Drosophila melanogaster: one gene and its partner. The gene in region 2 interacts genetically with the main gene of each other region. Each region holds a gene or a part of one and is shown on either strand. Other genes may lie near its edges.

What was found.
Region 1: of Nox (region 2) and PGRP-SD, changing one suppresses a phenotype caused by changing the other (phenotypic suppression), as found in Drosophila melanogaster (one study listed by BioGRID).

Annotation. Positions count from the first base shown.
Region 1 is NT_037436.4:7,648,991-7,652,543, reverse strand, and holds PGRP-SD (peptidoglycan recognition protein SD), read right to left. Parts: upstream 1,365-3,553; 5' UTR 1,340-1,364; coding exon 779-1,339; 3' UTR 644-778; downstream 1-643. Other genes in the region: CG7492 (uncharacterized protein), read left to right, coding at 1-234. UniProt on the Drosophila melanogaster protein: Peptidoglycan-recognition protein that plays a key role in innate immunity by binding to peptidoglycans (PGN) of Gram-positive bacteria and activating the Toll pathway. Has no activity against on Gram-negative bacteria and fungi.
Region 2 is NT_033778.4:16,305,117-16,309,048, reverse strand, and holds the start of Nox (NADPH oxidase), read right to left. Parts: upstream 1,781-3,932; 5' UTR 1-1,780.

The DNA of each region.
Region 1 (3,553 bases), on a different chromosome or scaffold from region 2:
TTCACGCCCAGCGTTGGACTGACCACCTGCTTCCAGCCGCTGTGTACGCAGCGTGGCGAGACGCCCGAAGGTCTGGCTAAGAGGAACTGGCTGCTCCAGCTGGACTTTGCCCAACAGAGCGGAAACGGAAGCGGTATTGGCATAGGAATTGGCAATGGTAATATGAGCGGAAATGGCAGCATTGTCGGCAGTACAGACAGTGCGAGCGGCAGTTCAAATGGGAGTTTATATTAGTGCAATTTACCTAAGTACTTTACGAATTTTGTATAGTTCCTTGTTTTATATTTTCTAAATCTGTAATCTGTAACAGCATCTGTTGCCACGTTGCCGACTTTTGTTTACCTCTCTCGTTTGGCGCATTATCTACTGCATACCATTACGACTACGACTATGTTCACGTTCGTTCCATCTGCGTTCCGTGCTTCATCTAGGGTTCTGTATAGTTAGCTTAGTTTCTTGCGGAAGTTCCGGTTCGGTGAATGATGCTATGTGATGTCTCAAATCTCTATTGTGGCCCAGTGCACTGCTCCTGGGGAGCGGCCTGCTTATTAAACGGGTCTGGCAACAAACAAAAAAGTAAAAAAAAAAAAAAGCGGCAGCTGACAAAAATGTGCGAAGTCGAAGAAGTACATCGGAAACAGATCAACAAAATTAAAATTTTAGTATTCGTATTTAAGCAAAAAAAAAAAAAACAAATTATACATAATTATATTTACAAATAAATGTGTAAGGAGTGGTCTTTACGTGTCGAAACCTTATGCAATGCACACTCTATATTTCACATTTCTTCGGACCAGTTGGGCCACTGCTGTATCAGAGCGTAGAGTGCTTCTCCAGGACTCTTGGTAGCACTGACTTGACGATGGCCCAGTAACTTATAGCCCTCCACCAGCTGAGCCTGTTTGACAGCCTGCTCCAGCAGCTCCTTGGCGGCATCCAAGGCCTCCTTGTTGGGCGCCCGTTCTTCGAAGTTACCAATAAACGCAATGCCCAGGGAACCATCGTTATTGGGACCGGCAAAGGCTCCTCTCTGGCTTGGACTTCTGCCTTCGTATACCTTGCCATTACCGCCGATCAGATAGTGGTAGCCAATGTCCGAGAACTTTTGCTTGGACATCTGGAAGTTTTGCAGATTTTGCATGTGCTGGGAGCATGTAACATCATCCGCACAAGCTCCTCCAGCTGTATGGGCGATCACAGCACGTGGCAAGGGAGTTTCCATGCTGTCTATGGCTCCGTTCGGCGGTTTGGCATTCCACTCGGCCCTCGTCACGATCGGTACTTCCCCCTGGACAGCGATTGCTGTGAGGCCAACGATGAGCAAACCGATCCAAGTCATTCCACTTGCGTGTCTGTCAACTGACTGGGTTGGGATCTTATGGGCTGCGGCACCTATTGCCGCTGATAAGGGGAGTGCCCCCAAGGAGATAGTCATCCGACCCCATATAAATGAATGTATCATACATATATGAGGGGGATTTTTCTTGCCAGTGATAGATAATTGACAGGGGGTAACGATTATAAGAACAACTAGCATAGCAATATATCGTTCTCTCAGAATTTTTCTAAATGGGTAAAATTTGCCAAGCGAAATTCCCCTAAAAACTACAAGGCCACCACAAGGGGGACATATATGTAATAAAAAGTGTAAAATGTACATAGAACTTAAATCACTTACCACGTTCTTGTGAATTATTAAATAAAAATTTGCTGCTTTAGATTATTTCATAGTTCTTACTTATTTTACACTAACACTCGCGAATCAGCAGATTGAGCATTTTTACAGCATGTTGATTTGATGTTTTTCTTTGGCGGGATGTAATATTAATTTTACCGGAACACTCGTATTTATTTAGTTATAATCCCAATCTGACACAAACTATAATTAAACCGCACTATTTTTACGCGTTTCAATAACTGATTTCTTTTAATGCGATCGAATTAAGCGTTGAATTGCGTGTAATATCGACAATAGAAAAGAAGCCGAAAAAGTGAGCATTCGCGCAAGTGCCGCTATTTCTAGCTTGTAAGCCTGCCTTCGAGCAAGAACTAACTGTAATCAATTGCCTCTCTGTAAACAAACGTAAGTGTTTGATGCGATCGAATTACTCGCCGAATTGTGAGTCATAACCAAAGAAAGAGCGTGCTTTCGCGCAAGTGCCGTTATTTCGTCTTGCTTTCTTTAATCGAATATATTTCGGTCTCTTCTTTTGCAGCAGTTCTGTTTTTTTAGTGTGCGCGGAAGTACGTTCTGTTTGTATACTATTACCTCCTTTACTTATTAAACTAACTTTAAACAGTTATTTTAATAGTTAGATTCTACACAACGGCAACGTAGAATGATTTTTTACATACATAGGTCAGCTTAAAACAATTGTGAAATACTACTTAATAGCGAATGAATGAATAAAGCAAAGCTTTGGTTTCGGTTATTATTATTTTTTTTTTTTTGTTTTTTCTTTATGTGTTTTGTGTGTGTTTGATATATACATGTACATACATATGTATGTACATGCATACATAAGTATGTATGTATAAAAATAGTGAAATGCTTATACAGGAAGCCTGTATTCTTAAAAGATAAATATGATTAATATGTATAAATACAGAGAAAGTAAGGTAAGTAAGTTTTAATTTTTTACCTAATTAAAATAATTGGTTTGAAAATAATTGTACGCATAATTTAGTGTGTTGTGTACACTAATGTACATGTACAACTTTATATTGCAATTTCAATCTGAACATCCACTATCTAATGGTACACTTTATACCGCGTATTTCCCTTAAATGTATTGAGGCCCCCCGATTTATCCCTATTTTATGCCAGTTAATACGAGCCCACAGAAACCTCAACTTGACACAGATGTTCTAGGCAGTGATTTAATTAAAAAACTTTTGCAATTAAATGCAAAAACTGCAAAAAACAAAGCGGAGTGCAGGCCATTAAGCCCCCAAAAAAGGGCGTGATGAGGAAGTGAAGTCGCAAAGTGACAACGAAAATGCAAGTAAGCGCCCTCAATTAAAAGCCAAAATGAATATAAAATGCGATGGAAAAGGGATGAGAGTTGAGGGGAGAGTGGTGGGGAGAGCTAAGCCGCAACATCCAGAAAACCCGAAAAAGCCGGGCTAAAACCAAAAACCGAAGCCAAAACTATGCGCGGCTGGAAAAACCAGCTGGTGGCGGGAAAAACTCGCCGTTAACTTGAATTTAAGTGAGTTCTGAGTTGGGAGCACCCCTCCGCAAATCGGCTCCCTCAAAAAATCCGTGTTGTTTGGTTATTCGAATTGTTTTTTTTTTATTAGTAGGAGTTTTCCAATGTCCTGCAGAGAAAAACATATTTTTTTCGCCACTTCCATAGTCTCAATTTAATCTGTCCCGCATTTGGATGCAATTTTTGGGGCGCCAAGTTGGCTCATTTGCAAAATTGTCAGATTTATTTCGCTAATTGCTGCTCATCCGTTTAATTAAAATTAAAAGAACTTGCACAAGTTTAGGGCGAAAGTTTTTATGCGAATTCACTGAAATCGCGCATTGGGCACGTTTAGTTTTCCT
Region 2 (3,932 bases):
TACTGAGCCGATCGGTGGTCGACGCTTTGGAAAACGCGTTTGCCCAATATCGGTTCAATATTTCAGGCTTCTGCCAGCCAGCCAGCCAGCTAGCGAGTTTTTAGAATGGACATGCAATGTCCCAGCCGATACAGTACGCACTATGTGCGAGTGTGTATCTTTGCATCTGTATCTCCATCTTCGTACGACTCATAAAATGGCTGCTCAGATAGATGATTGCCCCGAGTGTTTGCCAGTGTGTGTGTGTTCGTATGAGATTGATATTCTAATTTGGTTTTTGCGACTCATACCGCGAGTTGTGTGTACTTATTCGATAAGGGCTGCAAATAATTCAGGTGTCGCGATCTCGACGTCTTCATTTTTTAATTTCAATGCCCGTGTTTCGTAACAATCAAACTTGTTTATGTGCCGCAGCTGTCGAACGTGTCTATTTCCGAATTCCCACCCAGAGTGCACGGCACATACCGTCGCCTTTGTTACGAACTGCAATCGGAATTGGGTTTAAGTTTGGCTTGCGTTTTGGGATTTGGCACTACTCATCGCATAATGGGTCAATGGCAATGGGTCACGCCAGTCAGTTGGCCAGGAAGTGAGTGCGTGATTGGGCCAACGTAGCCAGCCACTTGTGGCCAATTCAATCGTATTCGAGTGCTCTAAGCGGTCAATCCGGCCCAAGGTCGGGCCAACACTTCCCCACCCGCCAAATATCGGATACTTTCAACATCTTATTGTTATCGAGTCGTTGAACTACCCCCCCCCCCCCCCCACCGACAAGATTCCCCCACCCACAGCGATTGCAGCGCCTTGAACGCTAGTGAAGTTGAAGTTGAAGTTGATGCTGGAGCTGGGAGCTATGAAGTCTCCGCCAAAGGGCAATAATATAGATACTTTGTAGAGCAACAGCTATGACTCGTGTCTTGTTTTCCTAAATGTTGCTACTTTGTTGCCACACTGAGAGAAATGTTTAATAGCTGGCATAAGAATGGTTTCTGAAAGCCTTTATGTTGGAAAATACATTATATGAAAGCTCGTAACTGTATTTTTCGAACCTAATCAATTTGAAAATGTATAATTAGTACAATATTAGTGAATATAACTTTCTATGTGTTAGCTATGATTTATTTTGGTAGCAGAAAGTTATAATTCAACCTAACTTAATTTTTGCTGGCACTTGGTAGCTGGGTTTTCAAAGTTTGCTGTGTTCTTTTATCTGTTTATTGAATGCTGTTGGAGCATCTTCAACAAAATTATAGAACAGCAATTGTTATAAATCATAAAGCCCATAAAACTGATGACTAATTAGGCAATATATTTTTCTGCGTGCATTAAGCGGGTCGATCTGCTGATTAATGTTCGACAGCGGCCTTTGGCTTTTGTTTACGGGTTAGTGCCCCACACTGAATCGGATTGAGATACATATTTAGCATCGAATTCGGATTCAGATCGTTTCCGCCTTCGCTTCACACTCTGCTAATCCACGGTGTGCTGCATGTGTAAGCTCCTTGTATGCGGTATCTGGTATCTGGCGAGTGCTATCTGGTAACTGAGATACTTAGTATCTCACATCCGCTGCGCTTAAGACGGCTTTACTCACCTGTCCGGCAAGGCTTTTATGGCCATTGTTAATTGCTGAAATTGGCATTCCCAATCACAGCGGGCGACACTCTTGGTCAGCAAGTCGCATTCAATGCCCGCTGGTGGCCAGGGAATTGGCCACTGGCCATTAGACATTAGACACTATCCACTGCCATCCACTAACCACTTCCAGACACTACTGGTCATTGGTCCCTCATTGTGATGGCAGTGGTGGCGCTGCAATTGACACCGCTGCGGCCAATTAAGCCCGCAGTTACAGCTGCAAAATATACAAAGACAGAGACAGGAATAGAAACAGAGATAGAGACAGGGACAGAGACAGAGACATCCGCGAATTCGTGCGCCGGGTGGTCCATCTGCAAAACGAATCCCCGACTGCTGGCATGCAGATTGATTTGCTCGGCAAACGTTCGCCGCTTGTGGGCAATTTTCCAAGTGGCCGGCGACGAGAGCAGTGTCATCAATTTAAATTAAGTTCCAGCTTTTTATCGCCACTCGGCGGACCAGTATCCACGCCATTCTCCAACTCCATCGCCAAGTTGCCCAGGTCTTTTGCAGACTCCTTCTCCAGCACCGTCATCATTATCCAAAACATGTCATTAGGCGGCCTCAAGATGCCCGAGTACCAGAATCCTGTTCTGCCGGCGACTGTCTTCGCTATCAACTTGGAATTCCAGCTCCCAGCTTCGTGGCAGCGACGCCAGCGGCGGAGCAGCAGCGCAGCAGAGCGTTGCGTGCAGCGGAAATTGGCCAGATACAGATACACTTCAACTCGGTTTCAGACTCCGCAGAGCCGCAGACGCGCTTACATCGATCGGTTTCGCCTAATAAAGCGACCGCGATCGCCACGCTAATTAAAATAATTGAAATTTCTCACGGGAAACGCGCATCGCGACACTTGCAGGGCATCCTATGTCCACTCTATATATCCCCATACCCCATTCGCCATCCCAATGCCATTCTACTTCCCCATCCTCTGCGATATCCGTTGCTAGTGCGGCTAATTGCAAATTGCAACATGGACATGTGGACATGTCCAACAATCGAATTGACAGCTGCTTTACCCCTGGCACATTTGATGGACATTAACATGGATCATCGTCCGTTGTCCCATTCGTGCTCCTCCACTCGCTGGCGCTGGCAAGGATTCCAGCATAAATGCATAAATTTCATTAGTCGCTGACAGGACGGTGCCAGCTAGTGTTGAGTCCCTAAATTAAGTGGACGGGTCAACTGAGTTATTCCAAGCTCTGATTGAGACCGTTAACCCATTGTTGGCCATATTCCTGGGCATACTTATGTATTTAATGTATTGATACTTTTATTTAATATTTAAAATGACACTATTCATATCAGTAAAAGATCAGTTAGAATCAGGTTGGTTTAAGGGGAAGCTTAGTTTTTCTCCATATCCTGTGATAATATCCTGTGATGATATTCTGATAAAAAAATAACAAATTTCCAAAATTTGTACATCAAAAGCACAATTTTCTGTTTCTTCCATTGGAAATAGTAAATTCATAGTAAAATATTAATAAAAGTATTCTTAATAATCTTTTTGATTTTTTTCGAAAGAAATGATGAACATAATAATAACATAATATTATTATTAACCAATTGTAAAGGCAGAATCGTAAGAGAAATATTGTTTAAATAGGCTTCAAGGATTTTCCAACTTCATTGCGATTTTACTGAAACCAAATCTCTTTAGTTCCCTCAGAAAATGGGTTAATGGTGCCACAGGAAATGGCGACCACAAATAAAAGTAACTAAACGCAGAGTTCCACAAAATATTGTTGCCTGCGATCGTGGATCGTGGCATGCGCACTCTGATCGAGATCGCAGCGACAGATAGCGGAGCAAAGTTACGATCATACATATGCATATAGAGTGGGGCCTCGATGCCCCAAAGAACCCCACCACCTTCTCCATATCCTCGCCTTTGGGGCCGTAAAGTTGTCGAAAATGATTTGCAGATCAAGATTTGTGCGCACAATTTATGTGATAACCCACTAAGAGCAGTGGAGTAAGACAAAAAAAAAAGTTGCAATACCAATGGTCCAGATCGGTCCACTCTCCCTGACCATGTCCTGCTCCTTCCGATCCTCCTACAGCGTCCAATTAGTGCGTAGACTCCAGTTTCATTCGAAATTCATGGACAATTGTTAGTGCCTCCGTGTAGCCGCTAATAATGACGCCTTTAAATGTGCAATAACAATTTTTGAGGCGCGCAAAAAGTGACTACTATATATATTCTCATATATATATATATATATTATACACTGCATTCGTGTGCGTGAGCTTAAGTACCGCCCATAGGCCAGCAAACCAGCTAC